2 linked regions of the Sus scrofa genome follow. The protein of the gene in region 1 interacts with the protein of each later gene in a biochemical or structural test. Links are inferred from orthologs where the notes say so. Each region holds a gene or a part of one and is shown in the gene's direction. Other genes may lie near its edges.

The links.
Region 2: the proteins of DAB1 (region 1) and VLDLR form a complex in vitro, tested with the Homo sapiens proteins (2 studies listed by BioGRID). The link is inferred for Sus scrofa from reciprocal best matches to the Homo sapiens genes DAB1 and VLDLR.

The regions. Positions count from the first base shown.
Region 1 is NC_010448.4:155,083,075-155,087,384, forward strand, and holds the start of DAB1 (disabled homolog 1), read left to right. Parts: upstream 1-1,500; coding exon 1,501-1,567; intron 1,568-4,310. UniProt on the Homo sapiens protein: Signaling adapter of the reelin-mediated signaling pathway, which regulates the migration and differentiation of postmitotic neurons during brain development.
Region 2 is NC_010443.5:219,206,904-219,211,326, reverse strand, and holds the start of VLDLR (very low-density lipoprotein receptor precursor), read left to right. Parts: upstream 1-1,620; coding exon 1,621-1,702; intron 1,703-4,423. UniProt on the Homo sapiens protein: Multifunctional cell surface receptor that binds VLDL and transports it into cells by endocytosis and therefore plays an important role in energy metabolism.

The DNA.
Region 1 (4,310 bases):
ATTTTTTCATTTATAGATAGATAGAAAGACTAGAAAGATAACTTTCTATCTATCTAGTCTTTTTAGGGCCACACTCACAGCATATGGAAGTTCCCAGACTAGAGGTTGAATCGAAGCTATAACTTCTGACCTATGCCACAGCCACAGCAGCGCCAGATCTGAGCCATGTATGCAACCTACAATGCAGCTCACAGCGATGCTGGATTCTTAACCTAGCCACTGAGTGAGGCCAGGGATTGAACTTGCATCCTTATGGGTACTAGTTGAGTTTGTTACCACTGAGCCACAACGGGAACTCCCTTACTCCAGCTTTAAGTGGCTCTCGTATTAGACTTCGTAGTTAAGCTATCTTTAATGGCACGATTAAGAGGTTTTGATCATTATTCTTTTTGAGCTGAAACTGGCATCAGCCTTTTCAGATTAAACAGTTTCCTGGATCTGTGGGATGAACTAAGAATTGGCTGCACAGGTTTGAAGATCCATTTTCAGTAGCTTTATCTTAATATTCTTTAAAAATGGATAACTCCTGAAATGTTTATTTTCAGCCGGACTCTTACATGTAAACCATCAGAGAGTCCGTCCCTGGGAAAAGATCCTTGACTTGACACTGGGACTACATTCATTCAATTTAAATGAAATCAAATGAGATAATGTATGTGAAGCAGGAGCTGAGGGCATCATATATAGTCAATGTATAGTAAATACTGGCTGTAATTGAAGTGGTGGTATTATCATGATTATCTCTTCCCAGCATAGTGTCTGAACTTAATAGTACCTAGTAGTGTGCAATGCATATTTATCATAGAAGGAATGAAATGTGTGTCTGCCTGCTTCTTTTCTTTTCCTCCCCGCATTAAATGCTTGTCTGCTCTTATAGCTGGGGGAAAAGCTGACATCAAAATTGGCTTGCTGCGAAGTTTCTCAGCCCCATTTGTCACCTTACCCTCAGAGCCCAATTGTATGTCAACGCCATGTCCCCTCGGATGCCTGCCAGTGAGGGAACGACCACAGGTCACTTCGCTATGATCTGCTTTAGCTGCCAAGGCTCTGGTCAGCCTTGGCTGATGGATGGGTGCCTCGCTGTTGGAAATGTCTCCATGGGGCCTCTCAGGAAATATGCCCGTGCTGTATTTTCTGGGTGGCATCTAGCACTTGACAGTAAGAAACATGGAACATCAAGAGTGGAGTTTTGCTTTTCTTGAAAATCCAGAGTTTTAAAGACCTGCTTTGTGTCACCTAGTTTGAGTTTTGCAAATAAGACCTCTCATCCTCTTTGGCAATGGACCCTCTTAATGTTTTTCCCTCCCTAATCTATACCTTTAACCGAGTGGTTATTCTGAACGTTCTCTTCCCTTGATTTGCAGCGCTCGGAAGAACTGAATGAAATGTGCAGCTGTCGGTGTCATTTCTGAAGGGAGGACTCGTTTTCTTGGAGAAGAGGCCTCAATGAGCCTGGCCGAGGCCCAGGATCTGTGTGAAGTGGACTAAGGATTTAGTAGGATGTCAACTGAGACAGAACTTCAAGTAGCTGTGAAAACCAGCGCCAAGAAAGACTCCAGAAAGAAAGGTAGGGCTCAAGCTGTTCCTATCCTAATATCTACTCTTGTGTAGGAATGAGGTTTTTTGGTCCCTGGAATGGCATTTGGGGGACTATCTTTGTGATTGCTTATGTTTGTTTGTTTTAATAGCACCATTATTGGGTGTTTTTTGTATGCACAGTATCGTATTTTAAAGGTCCTTCCTAATTCTCTTGGTAAAATCCAAAGTTCTTTTCAGCATATACAAAGCCCTTCTTGACATGTCTTCTACTCATCCCCCCCCCAAGCAACATCTGTGTCTGCATTCACGCCCCATCTCCATCTAACCCTGTTCACCCGCCGGGCATTCTGTGCTTTGTAGTTCCTCTTTGCATATACCAGTGATTCTCAAACTCTACCTGCACCAGCATCACCTGGAAGGCTTGTTAAAACAGAGATTGCTGAGTCTCATTCCCAGAAATTTGGGTTCTCTGGGTCTGTGGTAGGGCCCAAGTTTCATCTACAACACATTCCCAGATGATGCTGATGCTGGTGGTTCAGAGTCCAGACTTTGAGAACCACTGGACTCTCAATCCGTCTGTGGCTCTCTGCTATTTCCTAGACTGACTTCTGCCTATTCTTTAGTTTTGAGCTTAGTAGGACTTCCTGGAGGGCCAGGCCTTTCCTTAACCCCAAATGGGATTAGTTTCTCTTTGTTTGTTTTGTTTCGTTAGCACTTTGTTGGTAGCTAACTTTATTAATAATGTCGTCTTTGTGTTTGTTAGCCATACTATATAGTCCTTGAGAGCTGGATCTCTTGTTGACCCTTTTAACTCCCATCAATTAGAAAGTGCTTGACACATGGGAGTTCCTCTAGTGGCTCAGTGGGTTAAGAACTGGACGCTGTCTTGTGAGGATGCATGTTTGATCCTTAGCCTTGCTCATTGGGTTAAGGATGCAGTGTAGGTTACAGATGTGGCCCGGATCTGGTGGTGCAGTGGCTGTGGTGTAGGCCAGCAGCTGCAGCTCCGATTTGACCCTTGGCAGCTTTCATATGCTGCAGGTGTGGCTATAAAATAAAAAAAATAAAATAAAAAAAAAAAAAAGGAAAGAACGTGCTTGACACAGAGGAGGCACATAGGTGTTTAGTAATGAAGACTGGCATGCATGGTGTGATAATTAAGTAATTGTATCAGTATTCGTGGGTTTTGGAGAATTTGGTCCTATGGCTTTATGACTATGTCTTTCTTTAAGTTTATCCCCTTATAACTAGAGATAAGCAACTTCTTACTCTGTGTGTGTGTGTGTGTGCACGTGCGTGTGCACATGTGTGGTGTTGTGTGTTTTCTCCCTGCAGTTTCAGCTGTTTCCCTCCCCTTCAAAAAATGTGTGGGATAGAATTAATAGAGCTCTCTTCCAGGTCATGAAATCTGTCAGTCTGGGCCTGAAAACTGGATGCCATTGGTTGCTTTGTAGAGGCTGTGATTTGTTTGAGACATTGCTGTGCGTGCCCAGTCGTGTTTCCTGATGGCATCTGTCTGACACTCCATAGGAAGAAAGGGACATAAATGTAATACATATGCAGCTCTTGGGCAGTCGGAACCCCAGAAAGGACTATAAATTTTGCTTCAGATGTTTATTTGAAACACAAATATTTTCGAAGCAGTCTATTTTATCCCTATAACCTAATGTAAACCTTGTTTTTTATGCATCATGGTCTAAGAATAATAGAAGGAAAGCAAGTGGGTGATAGACTAGGTCTTGGGAGAAATGCTACGTGGGAAAAAAATTAAAAAAAAAAAAGATTGCAGAGCCCAGTATGTACTGGAATTCAAATGCATTTTCACTGGAAACTGACAAGTTATATTCTTGCTTCAAAGTTAATCTTTCCACTAAACTTGTGCTCTTGAATGCTTAATGCATCGAAAATTGTACTTAGTGCATATCTTTTCCTTCTTAAATTTAGCATGCAAAACCAGAAACATTTTAAATAGAGGATTCAGGTTTTCGGAACATTGACTTGGTTGAGGATTTGGAATGGGGCTATGAAGGTGACCTTTTAAACTCTTCCTCATCTCCACATTCTTAGTAGCTCTAATATCAGCACAATATCTATGTAAGGAGTGTCCTCAAATGAGTGGGTAATACCATGGAGTCTAGACAGCCAGACCTGGGTTCAAATTCTGTCTATGTCACTTCCTAAGTATGGTGACCTTAGAATTTTACTTCACCACTCTGAGCTTGTTTCCTTTCCTATAAAATGAGGAAATGATATTATAAAGTTCAAAGGCTCACTCGGATGATTAATTGAAAAAAGGCAAATACAACTTAGTATAGAACTTGGCATATATTAAAAACTCAACAAGGAGTTCTCGTGTGGCTCAGTGGTCAATGAACCCGACTAGGAACCATGAGGTCGGGGTTCTATCCCTGGACTCGCTCAGTGGGTTAAGGATGCAGTGTTGCTGTGAGCTGTGGTGTAGGTGGCAGACGCAGCTTGGATCCAGCATTGCTGTGGCTGTGGTGTAGGCTGGCAGCTACAGCTCCGATTTGATCCCTAGCCTGGGAACCTCCATATGCCATGGGTGTGGCCCTAAAAAGCAAAAAAAAAAAAAAAAGAAAGAAAAAAAAAAGAAAAAGAAAAAACCTCAACAAAGCTTTATCTGTGTTCCTCCTCTTCCTCTCCCCCTTTCCTTTCCCCTCCTCCTTTTCTCCTTACTTCTCATCATCTCCTATTTTGGCATCTTTCTCCATCTTTCCCTCCTCTCCTTTCTTTTTCCTATTTTTCCTCTA
Region 2 (4,423 bases), on another chromosome or scaffold:
TCTCCCAGTCTGGTTAGATGCTTAACAGCCCACAGAAGACAATGCACCTCAACCAGGGGAAATTGTGCAAGAAAACCGAAGTACACAAAAAGCAAATTACAGGCTCAGTATTGCCAGGCACAAAACAGGAATCAATCCTTTACAGGAATCTTGCCTTTGCTTCCTTATTTTTTTCTTTCCTTAAGCCTCATAATTGAATGTTGCAAACTACATCAAGAAGAATCAACCTGCAGGTTTCCCCTCCCCCAACAAGAAAAGGTTAAGCTTCTAATTACAGGCCCTCCAACCATTATTTTGTGCAATTAGCAATTAACTATAATCGTTGATGAGAGAATGTAGAGCTGCACTACTGATATCCCTCCTCCTCATCCTAGACTGGGTTATTTTAGTCGCGTTCTATTTCAGAGGACTAACCACAACCGCGCGCGCACACTCTCCTTACACATGCTCTCACTTAAAGACACAGTTAATTTTTAGCAAAAATGGCATCTCAGCGTGCGCCTAAGATGATGTGGGGCATCCCCTACCCCACATCAGAATAGCCCAAACGTTTAGACCCACTCCTCTTCATCACTTTTAGGTGGAGAGAGGAGGCCCAAGGAAGAAGCTACCTACCAGCCTCATAATAGCAGCCGTTCTTTGGGGCGCAGGAGAGGGTGGTAGAGAGATGCTTGTTGCCCCTGAAAGCTGCAAGTCCCCCACCCCCCCGCCCGGGCTGTAAGCCCCGTTAGGGGGAAGGCGGTGGCAATAGCCTCAGTGGTTGCATCAGTGCTAACTGCTGCTGCTGCTGCTGCTGCTGCATTTACTGTTGGCGACTGCCGGGAAGGTACTGTAATGACTGTAGGGAGCGCACAGCTGCTGCGGCGGCAGGTTCCCGGGATCAGGAAATTAGGGCAGGCACCGGGGATTGGAGGCGAGGGCGGCGCGCGAGCCAACCAGCGACCGCCCCGGGCCCCCGTGAGCCCCGGGCGGACGCGCTGAGCAGCCGGATCTCAGGAGCAGTCCCGGCGGCAGCGGCGGCCACGGCCACGGCCACGGCCACTCACGCTCCAGCACATACTCTCACACCCCCCAGAGCAGACACCTGGCCACCCCGAGCTTTTAAGAGGAGCTCGTAGAGTGCGAAGGAGGGCTGAGGCCGCCGCGCCCGCCCCTACCCCCGCCGCCGCCGCCCGCGCCCCGCTGACCACTCCCCCTCCTGCCCCCTCCTCGCTCCTCACCCCGCGCTCCAGCAGCCGCCAGTGTGGGTGCTCCGCGGTCGGCTTCTCTCTCTTCTGTCTTCTCGGCCCTCCTCCCCACCCCCTCTCCCTTTCTCCCCTCCTCTTCCCTCCCCTCCTCTGCAGCGCCTGCATTATTTTCTGCCCGCGGGCTCGGCTTGCACAGCCGCTGCAGCCGGGGGAGGTGGGTGGGTGGGTTGGTGGGTGGGGAGGAGATTGTGCAAGTTGTAGGGGAGGGGGTGCCCTCTTCTTCCCTGCTCCCTTTACCCCCTTCTAACTCCTTCCCCTCCTCCCCCTCCCCCTCCTCCCTCCCCGCCCCCACCTCCTTCCTCCTTTCCGAAGGGCTGGTAACTTGTTGTGCGGAGCGAGCGGCGGCGGCGGCACCACCATCCAGGCGGGCACCATGGGCACGTCCGCGCGCTGGGCGCTCTGGCTGCTGCTCGTGCTGTGCTTGGCGCCCCGAGAAAGCGGCGCCACTGGAGCGGGTGAGTGAGGACGCGCCCCTCCGCGGGCTGCCCAGACCCAGCCGAGGTGCTGGGGGCCCCCCCCCCGCCGAGGAGCGGGTCTCCTTTTGCCCACCCCCCCTCCTAGGAGGCGCCTCTCCGCTCTCGTCGCCTTCTTTCTCTCCCCACCCTGGTGGCGCCTCTGAGCTGACTGTCAGCACCTCGGCTACCGGGAGCCGGGCTGGGGGGACAGTGGGGTTTGGGGTGTCCTAAAGCCTGGCCCGAACTATCTTCATTCCCCTACACTCCCTCCCCCAAGGCCACTGCTTTGCCTCATTTTTCACCCTGCTGGGCCGGGGATGGGGAATGTGGGCTTCTGAGCCATTGAACAATGGTTCTGTCTCCTCTGCCAGGCGGAGTGTTAGGAAGGAGGCAGAGGGCCGGGTGGGCCGAGACGTGCGCGGCAGCTCCCGGCGCGCTCCTCCGACTTAAGCGAGGGTGGGAGGGGGCGGTGGATGAGGATGGGCGCCTGCGAGAACGCTGGGCGCTGGGTGCCGGCCGGGGCTAGGGTCTCCCTCGGTGGTGAGAGGGCGCGCGATCTGTGGGCTGCTGCGGGGAGTCTCCGCCGAGCGTCGAGAAGTGCGCAGCCTGCGCACCCGGACTGCGACTCCCCAGGCGCCGGGCCGTCTCTCTGGAGTGCGGGTTAGATGACTAGTGAGGCTTGAAATAGGACTCCCTCCCCCAGCTCTAGATAGTTCTCCCCTCTCCCCTTTCCACTCTCTGGGCCGCGTTTATAAACCTCTCGGGTCTCCAAGATAGCAGAACGAGGGAGGGGAGTGGAAAGAAGACTTAATCAGGTTAGTTTGCTGAGCCTCGTTCCCGGTGAGATTTCCTCGAGAGGAATCGAGTCCTAATCTAGTGACTGTAATTAGCCTTCATTCTAAACAATACATCAAAGGGAGCAGCGCGAGAACTGGGAGAGCTGGTGTGTGACTGTAGTTTGTTGGGGAGGGCGGTGGTGACTACTGTCAGGTCCCCAGGGTCTGCCGCACTGGGCCTGGGAGCCCTGTGCTCAGCCACTCTCCCACTTGGGGCCGCACAACTTTCCCAGGCAGGCGACAGGAAGCCCTTCTCAGAAGATTCCGTGAGGATCCTGGCGAGTCTCTGAATTGACCTGGAAAGGACACTGAGGGGCTGGCTCGCCAGGTCTGGGGAATTGGCAAACTGCCCCGTCCTATGTACCCATTCCAGAGACCCTAGCTCTTGTGTCCCCAGTGGCGTTGGAGGCCTGCCTGCCTGCCTGCCTGCAGTCACGTGTCTTCTGAAGTGAGAGCGAACTTTAAAGCGTCCAGGCAGCCTCTCAAGCAATACTTGGGGACTTGAGCCTCCGAAAGCCCCTTGCCCTTAGATGCCAGTTGTCCGGAGCGTGAGAAGCTGGGACGGGCTTTTCTGCGCTCTGCGATTGGCTGGCCGCCCGATCACGTTTCGGTTGGTCACATGGCTCCCAGACTCATAATTTAGCAGCCTGAGAAATGTTATCTTTAAGGGAACATAAAAAACGGACAGGCTCCAATGGACTGTTCTCTCAAATGCTTTCCCCTGCCTGTGCGCCTTGAAAAGGGCGCGTGCGTAGCAAAGATGGCCTGTGATGTGTAACAAAACTGAGAACTTGGAGTATCCCTGCTTAGGAAAGTTTTCAGACGCTAACATTAATCATTAATGGATGAGCAGTACTAACTTATTAAGCGATTTCTCAGACTAGTGCCCTGACTTGCATTACACCTTTCATATCATTTCAGAAGACTAAGATATACCAGAAACTACTGATCATTGTGCAGGAAAAAAGGAGAAAGGATTTTTTTTTTTTTTTTTTTTTTTTTGCTGTGTGTTCTCTTCATATTCTTTTTTTTTCCTGTTAAAATTTTTTCTGTTAAAATTTTTTTTATATTCTTTTAATTTAACATATAACTTTCCATTGGGGATGTCTTTGTCCTATAGAATACTAGGAATGCATCTAAATTGTAGAAGTAAGTTAGTTGAAGCCATATGTTCACCTTGTATTAGGTAGGCGAGCATGGTTTTTCTTCTCTAGTTCGTGAATGAAGTGCCATGAACAGCAGATAACAGAAGCCCATAAAAATGCTGGTCTAAAATCCTCTAGGACAGGGCAGGTGTTCTTTAGGATGCTAGCAAGGAAGTTAAATTAGGCTAACGAGAAGTTACAATTCAATAGTGGAGTATACCTGATGGTAAAAAAAAAAAATCTCTAGACGTTCTTGGGCATTTTCCTCCAACCTAAATCATCACGATTAGGATCTGGGGTACCGTATATTCATTAAGGCCAGGGCCTAGAAGAACCAAGGTTTTGTGAGAGCTATTCAAATGTGGCTAACAACCAGCAAAAAAGTAGACAAAACTTCTCCTAGTGTGGGAAGTGGGTTGGTGAAATTGGCACTACCTGGAGGCAAGGGAGACTGGAGGGTGGAGAAAAAATAAGCCTGGCTTTTCTAGATAGGCCGCAGAAAAGATGTGACAATGATCATAATCCTCATCTAGATCAAAGGATGAGCATGTGAGCAGGGACTCTTTAAAGGAGGGTTGCTCCTCAGGCCTCGGTGACAGCTGCTGGCAGTCTGAAGCAGCATGGCTCGCCAAGTCACCCCCATTGCCCACTTCACACAACATTCAACTCTATACCTGCCCTGTGTCATTTTGAGTCTTTGCTTGTATTGTTTGAATCCCCAGATATCTAAAGCATATATC